Linked DNA regions of Arabidopsis thaliana. The protein of the gene in region 2 purifies or fractionates together with the protein of the main gene of each other region. This does not show direct contact. Each region holds a gene or a part of one and is shown on either strand. Other genes may lie near its edges.

Region 1 (6,661 bases), on a different chromosome or scaffold from region 2:
ACTTCCCCAGATTCTTCGATCAAGTCCTCTGAATTTGGTAATTTTTGTAATTTCACATGCGGACTAGGTATTCGTCCAATTAGAGAAGTTAGGCTCGTAAGCTCACTGAGGTAGAAATGTAAATGAGTTCCTATTGAATGCATATGATGTGATCAATAACATACAAGAGATTTTGAGATAAGTGTTTAGCAGTTCTATGATTTTTTGGAGGAGAAGGATTATAAAATTCCATGTGGTATGATAACAGTTTGATTAATAGGACTAAGTTTTGGCTTGCTACTACAAAAAATTAGGACGCTACTTGGATTTAGCTCCTCTATGAACCTGTAGTGTTGTCTCGTTTACAAGAATCTGTTAAATTATCTTGAATTGGGTTTGTCTTTGGCTAATATCTCGTTTTTTTTGTTTATGAAAACAGAGATTTTATGGCTTTGCAATTTGCTTGTCAGCAGGTTTGACCTGTACACTTTTGGTAAGTATAACTCTCAAGTCTTAGCAATGTTAGAAAGCACTATCCTTATTTCTGCATTGAAAGGAATCATTTGATTGGTTTAGCTGTATTCTTCTTCTGTACTTTGGGTTGTCTTAGCTCTTTTACTGGTGATATAACTCTTTATCTCTTATTTGTTTGACGATGCAGTCGATGCTTGTTTTCTTTAATCCGGTCAAGTTTGGCATCACATTCACTCTGGGAAATTTGATGGCACTCGGGAGGTTCGTATTGGAATTTTGTGTAGCTTCTTGTTATATTGCATTGGTGTCGCAATTCTGTGTGTACAGTATTTCTCCATTTTTCTCTCTTTGTTCCTGGATTTTAAGTTTCATGTCACTTTTGTATGGCAGCACAGCATTCCTTATAGGCCCACAGCGGCAGGTGACTATGATGCTTGACCCAGCTCGTATCTACGCTACTGCATTGTATCTAGCAAGCATTATCATTGCCTTGTTTTGTGCTCTTTATGTAAGTGGGGTTTCTCAATTCAAAATACTGGATGCACAACATTGCTTATGTTCAGTTAAAACTAGGTAGTGAAAATGCCTTGTTGGACTAAATATAATCTGTCATCATCTTTCTGTACAGGTTCGCAACAAGCTTCTGACACTGCTGGCTATCATTCTTGAGTTCACTGGTCTAATTTGGTATGCTAAAACTTGCTTTCAAGCTCTTACATTTTTATCCTAACTTTCTTAGTAATACAATTACATGATATATACTCTTCGAATAGTATATTATCCCGAGTGGACCTAATGCTCCTTATACGGTTTCTGAGTTTGTCACAAAAGCTGTCAACATTCATCTTGGAGAATGAATCCCTTGTGTTCTTTAAAACTGCAGGTATAGCTTGAGCTACATCCCTTTTGCAAGAACCATGGTCTCAAAGATCTTCATGACTTGTTTTGACACCGAGTTTTAAGCTACAGTTTACACACATCAGGTCAAAGATTTCTTGTTCCAAAACCTTGATGCTCTGGCTGAACGATTGGTCAATCTCCTCCAAATGTGTTCAAAGCAGGACTTGTTTGATGCACCGGTAACGTGCCATGCCCTTTATGGCTTATAATTGCCTCTTTACATCAAGTTCACGTCTTCACAAATCCTAGCACAGTTTTTTGTATATTTGCTGTGGAACTTAACGTAGATTTGGATGTTATTGCTGTTTGCTACAAAATTAAGATGTTAACTTCACTTGTTTTAGTTTCATTGTCATGGTTACGCTAAAGACTTAATCCAGGAGGGAAATTGCATATTCTTATCAAAAGCACTTAACTTGAAAGTTGCAGCATAAAATCTAAAAATGGGAGGAAAATAAAATCTGAAAATAATATGCAAAGAAATAGAAATCGATCCCTGCCCTTAACGAACGAAATCACATAGTACAGTACAACCTTGTAAAAAGCTAGCAGATAAAAAGAGAACATTCAGTAGAAGCCAAAGAGATGCAGAAGAACAAAGCTCAATGACTTGAAGCGGCTGGAGAAGTAAGCTCTCTAGAAGACAACAGTGTCGAGCATAGTGCCTAGTGTCTGAACAATGTTGGATGACATGAGGTTCGAGACATGTTCTTCCAGATGCTTCTTTGCATCTTGTCTTCCCACATTCACAATTGCCAGCTTCTCTGGTGACAACTCGTCCTCCTCTTGAACCGCCTTGTTATATTTAGCAGCCAAGCTCAACATCTCCTGTTAAACAGGAGATAATGAAAATGTCAATGAACATGATTGTAGAATATGCTTGAACAGATAAAAACATAACCCTGTGTTTCTTTACCTGGACCGTCTGTTCGTTGGTCTTGGAGTGGGTGTCAAAGCGTCTTAGCGTCAGACCATCTGTCCATTTCTTCTTGTGGAGGTTGAGTAACATCTTCTCCTCAAGCTCGTTCTTCCTATAGTTGATTGCTATTGAGTAATAGTGTCTGTTCAACCCGTGAATCAAAGCCTGCATAGTAGTATCCAAAAGTCAGTATCAGAGAAAACCTTTGATTTCGTTTCAACTTAAAAACAGGACACATTCAGTTAGTGATAATCACCTGGATCGATGGTTTGTTCAAGTGCCCAAGGTTCGATGTTGTTTGACGGGGTTCCTGCCCAAGCATAATGGTCTGTGGATTTATGGAGCGGAACGCATCAATCACCACCTTTCCTTTCACACTCTGAATCGGATCTACCACCACTGCTACAGCTCGCTGATTCAAAGCTTCAAAACTCTACAAAAGCACACAGATATTCACAATGAACATATATAATACAAAGTGAATCACAACAGGGTATAGAACACAATGAGTAACATTCTATTTAGTTTTTTGAGCCATCAATAAAGCAAACAACAAATTCTCAAGTGCAATTCACAAATTGATAAGTATGCAAACAGAGCAAACAAAACTCTACCTGTTGAGTATTAATGTCAACCCCAGAAAGCCAGCAGCCGAATCCAGGATGTGAATGATACCAACCAACCACCATCTCAGGTCTGAAACAAGATACAAGAAGAATCAGATCCAAAACCTAAATAGGAAACCTCACTTAAGCGTAGTAAATAGGTTTAGAGAAGAACTAGTTACCTTCCGGTCTGTTTAAGCATGTCGAGCATATTAGTCTGGAAAACATGATCAACAGCTTCAACACTAACACCAGTACCACTCTGAGGCATCGCAAAAACATCCACAACCCTAACAGTGTATTCATCCACAAACTCTCCAAGCATCAATCCCATGACTTCCATAGGAACACCAGCTCTTCCTGCAATATTCCGATCAATTTTCATTAAATCTCTACTCAAATCCGCATTTTGAATCTCAGAAACAGATCGAATAAAACCCTAGAGTTCCAGAGCAAAAGAGGACGAGAGTAAAATCACAGAGAACGAGACAAAATCATAAAACCCTAAGCAAGAGAAGACTAAATTAGAGCTTGGGTTTGGATTGATTACCGTGCTTAAGCATCTTGAGGAGAGCGAGAGAAGAGATGTAAACCTGCTCCGATGTATCGAGAGTCGGAGAATCAGGCGATGCGTGACCTAAACCGCCACCAGCTCCGAAGATTCTCTGTAGTCTCTCCATAATCAGATGAATTGATTAGTCGTCTTCTTCGAAAGTTTGTTCTTCTGGGTTTTTGCTACAAGAATGGGATCTTATAAGAAAACCTTTCTCAGTTTTCTTTGTTAACAAGACAGACGAAGATGGATCGAATTACTCGATTAGGCGACACTAATTACATATAAGTCCTTCAATATTTCCTTTTATTTATTGTAACCAATAATTCACCAAATTTCCAAATCATCCCCAAAAATAAAAGTTAATAACCAATTTGAATTTCCATATTTTTTTTGTCAAAATTTTAAATTTCATTACAATGCAAATCATGTCATTGTGTTAATATTGTTAATTCGGTTGCATAATATAAATCTACTTTACTTAGAGCTTATAGTTTTCGTTTTATGTTTAGACTTCTGGCTAGTGTATATACAATAACTAAACATGTAAATATTGAACTGTTTTCCAGACGGATTTTATTTGGCACCTTGAAAGTTCACAAGATCAATGAAAGAAAAAAGGAAAACGACTCCGTTTCAGTCATGATCAAAGGTTCTCCAACAAAACCTCACAGCTCTAGACCGAAATCAAACTCTAATGGATGGGAAAAAGAAGAATCCTTTTTGAGAGCAGGCAACATTTTCCAAACGAAACTGTAGAGAGGTTTCAACTCAAAGATCAGGCATGCCCTTTCCAGTTTTAGCATCATATGTCTGCTCCCAGACAAACTCCATTGGTGTGTCCTTAGGGCCAGCTGCAAAGAGAAAAGTATGAATCCTTCTATAAGAAAACCGCTACTATCAAGTTTGTTGATTATGTTGATAGCAAACGAATTATGTTGATTCTATGTTTATCTTATAGCCGATCTATGATTATGTTTTTTTCTCAGATAGCTAACAGACTTCCACTATATATTTCCAAAATCCAACGTTTAAAGAGATATTGAGCTTCTATGTACCAGTTGTGGGTCGCGGCGTTGCCCTTATCTTTAGAATCTCTGGTCGGGGAATTATGGAACCAGATGTGCCAGTGCCTCTGGCTACTCTTACTTTTGTTCCATCTTCTAGGTATTTTACACCAACCTTACAAGGCCTCCTGTGGTAGAAAAGATAATAGATTAATAAGTGATCTCTCGCTTGAGCAAAAGAGTAATTGGAGACAGTAGTGCAGAGTGAAATCATACCCAGTGACAGGATCAACAACTTGGACATTTGAGGCGTGAAGAGGAGCCTCTACAGTGAAAATTCCACCTTCGTGATCAGGGCCTCCCTTTATATGTTTCTTGATCTGAGAACACAGGAAAAAAAAAGCATCAGCGAAAAACATATACAAGCTTCAGTGAGTAGACAAAGACTATCCCAGCAGCAAGGTAGAACATCCAAAACGATAACAGTTTCAAGATAAACAATTCAAAAGAATTGTGTAGCGAAATCCATGGAACTAGAGTCGCTTTGTGATTTAGTAACCGTCTACTTGATGCTTGGATTAAAAAAATGAGAATCAAATGAAAATTGATAACTCTATGGTTGGTGTTGAGCTAGTGATATGATATTGATTCAGTACTAGTTCATACTCTACAAACCAAATCAAGAACAAAAAAATCAAAAAATGAACTTGTACATTCATTCTCTAAATGCATGAGACAGAGCGAACAAAAGATATCCAGAACAAGACTATCTCACCAGATTCTTCCCTTCAACGATGACACGATTTTGGGATCGAATGACACGCTTTATGGTTCCAGTCTCACCCTTATCTTTCCCACGAATTATCATTACCTGCACATAAAATCATACCCCAGAAACAACAGATCAAAAATGAAACCAAACTAATGAACACCACAAGAAGAACATGAGTGGTGTACTCACATTGTCTCCTCGAAGTATCTTCCAGTGTCTGATGAGTTTCTCAGCAGCTTTCCAGCCCATAGCTGCTACTCTCTTTGAGAATAATCCTAAAAATTACATCACAACAAATTCACGTCTTTCTTCTAACAAAAAAAACAACGAGAAACGGAAAGCATGAAGAATCCAAATCAAAGAAATTGAAAATGGCAGGGCCAATTTCGAGGGTTTTCAACTGCGGAAAGCCACCTAAATTAGGGTTTTTTCACGTCAAAGATACGCAACCAAAAAATTTATACATAATTCCGATCTAATTCGAAAAGGGAGAAAATTGATGATTAGAAATGATATCGCCGAAATTGACAATTAGGATGCGAAAACAAGTTTGGTCTAATAGAAGAAGCTTGCCTCTGAGAATTAATCGAGAGATCGAGGAAGAGGAAACCAATGGAGTTGAAGCTTTTTTGTTTTCCGCCGACGGTGCAGGCAGCGTTAACCACGGTGGCGAAGAAGTCGTCAGTATTTTGATTGTGAGTGTAAAAAAGATAAACCCTAAAACCTCTCATGTCTTCAAACATTAAAACGACACCGCATTCGCAATTTGGCCAAAAAAATTATAAGTCACTAACTAATTAGGTATTAACGATTTTAATTAATTGGGATGAGACGATATATGCTCTGTTTTCTTTTCTTTACTAGAGATGCACTGTTGATGTATTATTAGAGACCAAATTTTTTGTATTCCGATGTGTTAGAAGTTCACATTTTTATATGGTTTGAACTTGGAAGGTAACTACGGGATTAAATATGCCTGGATTATATCGTGTATCTAAATCATGATGGTGTAAATTCGTTCTTGTTTTGCTTTTTGCTTTGAATGGATGTTGTAGTTAGTGCGGACTAATCCGTAGCGGTTTAGTCCATACCATTTTTGGGTCGGACAACAAACCGATGCGGACTTAGTTTAAAGACTGTCCGCAGTTAGTCCGATGCGGTTGTCTTCTATTTTTTTTAAGTATGTACTATTACGGATTATAATTTATGAATGGTAAATAAAAAGCGGTCCGGTCTATAAACGGTTTTGTCTGTTTGGACCGCTGTAATCATTCAAAGTTTGTTTTTACAAATTTACCCATGACCACTGTTGAATCTAACATAGAGAAGAATTGAATGAGATTGAAAATTAGTTGATGCAGGTTTCTGACATTAGAAATTACTTGCCTCCTGCAACATGTACATTGATTGAATCTACTTGCTCTTATGTGACTCCATTGCGTTGGCCATGTG
Region 2 (7,768 bases):
GGACTTTACTATGCAACTCCAACTTTTGCTTCCGCAATGCAGAACTCTGTTCCTGCCATCACTTTCATCATGGCTTGTGCCTTAAGGTACCCTAGCAACTTCGTCCTCCTAGAAATACCATTCTAATCATTTTCATGGCTGGGTCTAACATTGATCTTCCTCTATGAATCAAGGCTAGAGCACATAGACCTGGTCAGGAAACATGGTGTGGCAAAAGTATTGGGAACTCTTGTGAGCATCGGTGGAGCCACCGTGATCACATTGTACAGAGGATTTCCGATATTTGACCAGGGCCTTAACATGCAAAAGGAAGAGGTGGTCGGATCTGACAACTCGCACAGCTTGACACTCGGATGGTTATACCTTATGGGACATTGTCTGTCATGGGCTGGTTGGATGGTTCTTCAAGCTCCTGTTCTAAAGCAATACCCGGCGAAGCTCACTTTAACATCCTTCACATGTTTCTTTGGTCTGATTCAGTTTCTGGTTATTGCTCTCTTTGTGGAAACTGATCTAAATAATTGGATCATCGTCTCTTGGGAAGAGCTCTTCACCATCCTATACGCCGTAAGCTCCCTCCCTCTGTCTCTCTCTCTTCCTTTTCCTTGATCTGAATCAATGGAAATTAGCTAAATGAATGTTCCTTTGGCCGTGTTTACAGGGAATAATAGCGTCAGGGTTGGTGGTTTATCTTCAAACATGGTGTATCTACAAAAGCGGTCCAGTTTTTGTCGCTGTTTTCCAGCCTCTCCAGACACTTCTTGTTGCTGCGATGGCGTTTCTTATTCTTGGTGATCAGTTATACTCGGGAGGGTAAGCGCATTGAAAACGGGATGTATCGGGTTTTGTTTCTCTCGATTACTCGATCTAATAGAATCTTTTTGGCTTTGCAGGATTGTTGGTGCAGTGTTTATAATGCTAGGGCTCTACTTAGTTCTTTGGGGCAAAAACGAAGAAAGAAAACTGGCTCTTGAAGAGAGTCAACAAGATCCAGAGTCACTGACCAAACATCTACTTGAGGCACAACACAAGAAGAGTAATTCTGAATCTGAAGTGTAAAAGTGCTGCAAACACAACGCATTACTTCTCTGTACATACACATACAAGAACTTGGCCAACACACAGGCTCCTCAAGTGGGTCTCTCATACAATTGATATCCTAGTCGTTTACTTTTGAGTTGTAATCAAAATTGGGTTGCAATTTATTTATGAATAAAAATGAAAAGATGGTAACATTAAATCAAAGTTGACAATAGAGAAGCAAATGTTCTGATCCGGTCTGGTTGGAGACAGACCAATGACCTGGAGAACTCATGTTCATGCAACTGTGTACTGTCTTAATCTTTCATACAACGAATCTATAACATTTGTGACCCAGTCTATGATTAACCAGATAGGCAACTGATTTTGTGACCCATCATGCATCAAATATTTGAGTCCCAGTAATTAAAGTTCTGTTTCTACTCCTACCATTTGGACTTTCATAACCAAAACTAAATCAACATATGAAACAAAAAAAACTGAGAGATCTTGATATCACAAGTCACTAGAAAGAAATACAATCGCACTAAACCACAAATAAAGCCACTTAACTGCAATAGCACATGTTGCAAGAAAAGGGAGTCTAAGTTCAAAACCATTGTGCAAGCACAACACATGAAAAAAACGAAACAAAAGCTTAGATAGAGCAATAGAAGTGTTCTGGGACCTGTTTTGAAAGAAACTACCACACTACCTCACAGTTACGATGTCATCAATCTTCAAAATCATCCTAACGCATTCAGTTGCTAAAGTGATCGCACTGGTACTCACAAGCAGAGGCTGAACAACATTTTCCTCCAAGATGTTAGTGATCTGTCCTTTCCTCACATTGATCCCTGCGTTGATTTCCCCTTGAGCATGCTTGTTCCTGAGTTCAGTCACAATGGCGATAGGGTTTAACCCTGCATTCTCGGCTAGTGTGTAAGGAATAACTTCGAGAGCTTCAGCAAAAGACTTCACACAGTAACCTTCCATCCCATGTAGCACCTTAGCCCAAGCACCGAGCTGCCTTGAGAGCTCAATCTCTGGTGCACCACCTCCTGCAATCAAAAACCTTTTGCTCACTAGACACCTAACCACACACAAGGCATCATGTAAACTCCTTTCAGCTTCATCTAGAACAAGCTGGTTGGAGCCACGAACTAGAACAGATGTAGTTCTCCCCATGTCCTTGATACCAGTGATCTTCAAAATCTTTCCATCTCCAAGGGAGGCCTCCTCAACAAGATCAGCATGGCCAAGCTTCTCAGCTCTGAAATGCTCAATATTGGCGATAGGCAAGCAGTTCAATGTCTTGGTGACAAATTCAATCTCATCTCTCTCAACATCCTTAATAACCATAATCTTAGCTTTGGCCAAATAGTGAAGAGATAGATCAGTCACTGCATCCCTCAAAATACTCTTCTGAATCAACAACACATTGCAACCAGTTGCTTTGATCTTCTTAATCATCCCCAATATGTAATTCCTCTCTTCTTTCAAGATCCTATCCATCTGAGTATAATCAGAGACAACAATACTCTGCTCGATATCAGTCTTAGGAGGTGAGATCTGGAACTGAATCACAGCAATCTTAGCATTCTCCACACGAGTCGGTCCACCAGCAGCACGGCTAACCTTCTTATCAAAAACCAAACCTTTCACAGTATGTGTATCATCCACAGTCCCACCAAGCTTCTTAACAATCTTAATATCACGCAAATCCACAATCTCAGGCTTTTCCGGATCTATAACAGAGAGAACCGCATCTACAGCTAAAGGAGCAAGCAATGTAGAGTACTGACTAACAACCTTACTGTTAAGCGATGTGCTCGCAGATTTCACAAGTGAATCTCTATCAGTGAGCTCCACTGGAACAGCCATGGCAGTCAAAATATCGATCGCCTTACCACACGCCTTGTGAAGCGAATCTGAAATGACAGTAGGGTGGATCCCGTTTGTGAGAAGCGATTGACACTCCTTGAGAAGCGCACCGGCGATTACTACGACAGTTGTGGTACCATCTCCGGCGGCTGAATCTTGAGATTTGGAAAGCTCGACTAACATCTTCGCCGCTGGCTGCAAAACCTCCATCTTGTTAAGGATCGTAGCTCCATCGTTAGTAATGATTACCTCTCCGTTCGCCGTGGAAATCATCTTGTCCATTCCTTTCGGTCCCAAACTAGTACGGACGGCGTCAGAGACTGCTCGAGCAGAGTTGATGTTCGCGAATCGGATATCTTCTCTCCGCTTGTTGTCTACGAACGATTCAGCTTTAGATCCACGGGGCTTCGAAGCCATTGGTGCCGCTACCGCCGCCATTTTTTTACTACGAGTGAGAGAGCTTGAGATCTCGACGGAATTGATCTCGAACGGAGAAATTTGCAGAAAACCCTAAATGGAAGTGTGACAAGAGTGTTCTGGAAATGAAAGAGAGAATAGAGAATTTGAAAAAAGCCCTAGGGTATACGCTATTGTTTGATAAATGGGCCTGTTTTGAGTTTTTATGAGTTAGCCCAAAAGGCCCAGTTATTGGTTCAGACTTCAGACTTGAGTGTTTGTTAAGGGGACGGTTAAACAAATTTGAGAAAAATCTAAACTAGACCAAATGATCTGGTAATTATTTCGTTCCCAAGATTACAGTACACGAATGCTTGAAAGTTACTTATTTACACTGACTGATTATGCAATAGCTCAAGAGCTTTGACAAGAACCAGCTTGAACCGGTTTATATCAACGCTAACGTTCTGCTGTACCAAATAAACCGACTTGAAAGTTCCCCACCCGCGTTTTGCAACGGCCAATGGATCTCTAACGAACTCGTGATCGCGTCCGTACTGCTTCACCAGTGTGCTCTCCTCCGCCGTGATCTTGTACTCCAAATACCTCAGATTCATGCCCTTCGACGGATACTCGAAATCCATCTTTGCAAGCCACTCGAATCCACCGATCGGAAGAATCTGAATCACGATCGCGTTATCAGGTAAGAACACCATGTTCGTCATCCCCGCGCCGTGAACGCCGAGCATCACGTCACAGGAGTTCACAGTTATTGCGAAACTCGCGATTTCCGTGTTTGCTTCCGCCACCACGACTTTAAATCCGATTTGTCTCGCCGCTCTAGCGATTTCACCCGCGTTCACAAACGCTCGCGATCTGCTCCTAGACAAAATCAGAATCCGTGGCTTCCGCCTCGTAGTCACGGCGGAGTTTCTCAATGAGTATGTGTCTCTGAGGAATTTCCGGAAATCGGACATTGAATACTCCGAATTCGAAGGATCAGTCGTTAGCTCTTTGTCATAATCACGGTGGCGATTGAGACCAACGATGACGCTGCTGAAACAATGCGTTTCGTCTTCTTCGTCGATGTAAATCACTTCGTAATTAGAGAGTTTCCTCACTAATTCCTTAAATTTGTTGATCCACAAAAGATTCTTGTTCGTCACGAGGAACTGAACTTCACCGCTGAATCTACGCGCCGTCGTGTACAGAGGAATCACGATGTCCGTGAAATCATGGAAATTGTTCAACGAGAAGCCTCCGAGAGAGAAAAGAATCGCCGGAACGCTGTGATTCCTAACGCAGCGTGATAAACTAGCGTTTTGTACTAATTTCACCGTCCATTCTCTCACGCGTTTCATGGCAGGAACTTGGTCTTTTCTCGCATAAGGTCTCATATACCACGTGGAATTCCCGGAAAACGCAAACGTGACCGCCGCAAGAACAGTTGCGGATTTACCATGGATTCTTACGTCGCCGCTTACATCGCAAAACTCTTTGCTTCCTAGTGTGTTACAGTGACAGATAGGTTTCTCCATTTTATTGCACTCTGAAGATTCAGTCAGGACAAAATCAAAAGAACAAACTGTATCATACTATACAGAAAATGACTAAAAACCATAACAAGACAATTGTAGAGAAAATTCTGAAGTATATTGACCTGAAATAACTTCTTCTTTGGAGATTGTAGTGTTGGTAGTTAATTCTGTTATACTCAGCATCCTTAGACCAGTGCCAACTGATAACTGTAACTCCACTGAAGAAAGAAAGAAAGAGATACACGTTAAAATGATTGTTTTTGCGTTATCTGGCTTTTCGGCAAAACGTGGTAAGAGACTTACCGATTGGTAAAGGGCTGAGATAAGGTTTAACGACAGTGCAAAGAGTGAGGACCAAGAGAAGAGAGGCAATGAAAGCTCCACAGCAAAGTCTCTTCTGATCAGTTTTGCTAAAACTACGAGCAAGTACTGTATCGTAAAGAATATCCTTCTTTGTCATCTCTTGACTCTTAAGTTACACAAAACTTTTCTTTCTTCTTCAGCAAGAAACTCTATAATCAGAGTTTACTGGCTAATGTAGAGATATGAAGGTCAAGCTAGGTGGGAGAGCGAGAGGATTATGTGAGGTATTTAAGAATTTGTTTGACGATATTATCTGTGTTTTTTTTTTCACTATAACGTTTTAGTTATTGAGAATGAATATAAAGGGTACTGGTTTAAAGAAGAGAACTAGCTAGAGCATGTTCAAAGTGGTTCGATCTTATATTGGTAGAGTTTAAGGAAGAAGGAGAAGTCTTGGGAGTTTTTTCTTTATTTGCTTCATATTGAGTTAGTGATGAGTCATTTAGCTCCATATCAAAATTACAGAAATCATTAAAACATGCAATTTAATTTGCAACCAAAATAAGAGAAGGAAAGAAAGCATGACAAAAATATCCGTTAAATGGGGGAAAAGCTATTCAAAACAGATTAAAGCTGACCAAAAAACTGTAAAAAGTTACATAAAATTTAGTGTAAGCCACATAATTCTTTTTCTAATCGATATCGGTTTACTCTGGTTAGTCGATTGAGCCTCATCAGAATAATAACTGACAGTTCAGAAATTTCGATAAATATAATTGTTTTATGATAACAATATTACGATCCAACATTCCAACTACAAGAATTTACAGTATATGGATGCGGTAAATATATGATTTACATCGACTGCCTCTAGGCTCTCTACAATAACTCAAGAGCTTTGACAAGAACCGGCTTGAACCGGTTTATATCAATACTCACGTTCTGTTGTACCAAATAAACCGATTTGAACATTTCCCACCCGTGTTTTGCAACCGCCGATGGATCTCTCACGATTTCGTGGTCGCGTCCGTACTTCTTCACCAGCGTGCTCTCCTCCACCGCGATCTTGTACTCCAAGTACCTCAGATTCATTCCCTCCGAAGGTTTCTCAAAATCCGTTTTCGCAAGCCACTCGAATCCACCGATCGGAAGAACCTGAATCACCACCGCGTTCTCCGGCAAGAACACCATGTTCGTCAGCCCCGCGCCGTGAACGCCGAGCATCACGTCGCAGGAATTCACCGTTTGCGCGAATTTCGCGATTCCGATGTTCGCTTCCGCCACCACGACTTTGAATCCGATCTGTCTCGCCGCTCTCGCGATTTCGCCGGTGTTTACGAACGCTCGCGATCTGCCTCTAGCCAAAATCAGAATCCGTGGCCTCCGCCGCCGGATCTGTCTCGTAGCCACGGCGTCGTTTCTCAACGAGTAGGTGTCTCTTAGAAAACTCCGGAAATCGGACATTGAATACTCCGAATTCGAAGGATCGATCGTCAACTCTTTGAAATACTCACGGTGGCGAGTGAGACCGACGGTGACGCTGCTGAAACAATGCGTTTCGTCTTCTTCGTCGATGTAAATCACTTCGTAATTAGAGAGTTTCCTCACTAATTCCTTAAATTTGTTGATCCACGATGGACTCTTGTTCGTCACGAGAAACTGTACTTCTCCGTTGAATCGACGCGCCGTCGTGTACAGAGGAATCACTATATCGGTGAAATCGTGGAAATTGTTCATCGAGTAGCCTCCGAGAGAGAAAATCATCGCCGGAACGCTGTGATTCCTAACGCAACGCGAGAAATTAGCGTTTTCTAATTGGTCAGCGTTTTGTTCCAATTTCACCGTCCATTCTCTCACGCGCTTCATTGCCACCGTGTCACCTTTTCGCGCGTAAGGTCTTATATGCCACGTGGAATTTCCCGAAAACGCAAACGTGATCGCAGCAGAAACAGTCGCGGACTTACCGTGGACTCTTACGTCGCCGTTTAATTCACAGAACTCTGTTCTTGCTAGCTTGGTGCATATAGGTTTCATAGTTTTCTCCAATTTATTTTCATCTGAAAATTCACCCAAAAGACAAAATTATCAATAAATTGACTAAACCATAACAATTTCAAGACAAAATATCAATAAATTGACTAAAAACCATAACAACTTGAAGACAATTGTAGAGAATAATTTGAAGTATATTGACCTGAAATAACTTCTTCTTTGGAGATTGTAGTGTTGGTAGTATAATTAAACGAATCAAGATAATTCTTTGGCATGCTTGTGTCGTTGAGTTTATGATCCTCAGAACTTGTTAGGCTCTGAGTAATAATTTCACTTGATGTAACATTATCTTGATTCGTTGGGATAATGAGTTTATCTGAATCTGCGGATGTTTCATCGTTGCTGCTCCTTAATGCTTGCGGTTCTGTTATTCTCAGCATTCTGAGACCAGCGTCCACTGATAATTGCATCTCCACTGAACAAAGAAAGATAAACGTTATTATTAATGAGTGTTTCTGCGTTCTCTGACGTTTTGGAAAACGTGGTAAGGGACATACCGATTGGTAGAGGGCTGAGGTAAGGTTTAAAGACAGTGCAAAGAGTGAAAACAAAGAGAAGAGAGGCAATGAAAGCTC

What was found. Proteins that work in one complex are often made in the same cells at the same time.
Region 1: the proteins of AT3G18190 (region 2) and AT5G23540 fractionate together in Arabidopsis thaliana (co-fractionation; one large-scale study listed by BioGRID). This does not show direct contact.

Annotation. Positions count from the first base shown.
Region 1 is NC_003076.8:7,934,668-7,941,328, reverse strand, and holds AT5G23540 (Mov34/MPN/PAD-1 family protein), read right to left. Parts: upstream 3,700-6,661; 5' UTR 3,558-3,699; coding exon 3,428-3,557; intron 3,238-3,427; coding exon 3,060-3,237; intron 2,969-3,059; coding exon 2,887-2,968; intron 2,706-2,886; coding exon 2,529-2,705; intron 2,438-2,528; coding exon 2,270-2,437; intron 2,182-2,269; coding exon 1,990-2,181; 3' UTR 1,725-1,989; downstream 1-1,724. Other genes in the region: AT5G23550 (Got1/Sft2-like vescicle transport protein family), read left to right, coding at 419-472, 641-714, 844-961, 1,082-1,140, 1,337-1,415; AT5G23535 (KOW domain-containing protein), read right to left, coding at 4,202-4,284, 4,489-4,625, 4,714-4,817, 5,213-5,308, 5,399-5,458. UniProt on the Arabidopsis thaliana protein: Metalloprotease component of the 26S proteasome that specifically cleaves 'Lys-63'-linked polyubiquitin chains. The 26S proteasome is involved in the ATP-dependent degradation of ubiquitinated proteins.
Region 2 is NC_003074.8:6,227,800-6,235,567, reverse strand, and holds AT3G18190 (TCP-1/cpn60 chaperonin family protein), read right to left. Parts: upstream 3,461-7,768; 5' UTR 3,343-3,460; coding exon 1,732-3,342; 3' UTR 1,385-1,731; downstream 1-1,384. Other genes in the region: UMAMIT4 (nodulin MtN21 /EamA-like transporter family protein), read left to right, coding at 1-86, 174-567, 662-813, 894-1,059; AT3G18180 (Glycosyltransferase family 61 protein), read right to left, coding at 3,690-4,849, 4,961-5,056, 5,142-5,298; AT3G18170 (Glycosyltransferase family 61 protein), read right to left, coding at 6,021-7,198, 7,336-7,608, 7,691-7,768. UniProt on the Arabidopsis thaliana protein: Molecular chaperone; assists the folding of proteins upon ATP hydrolysis. Known to play a role, in vitro, in the folding of actin and tubulin.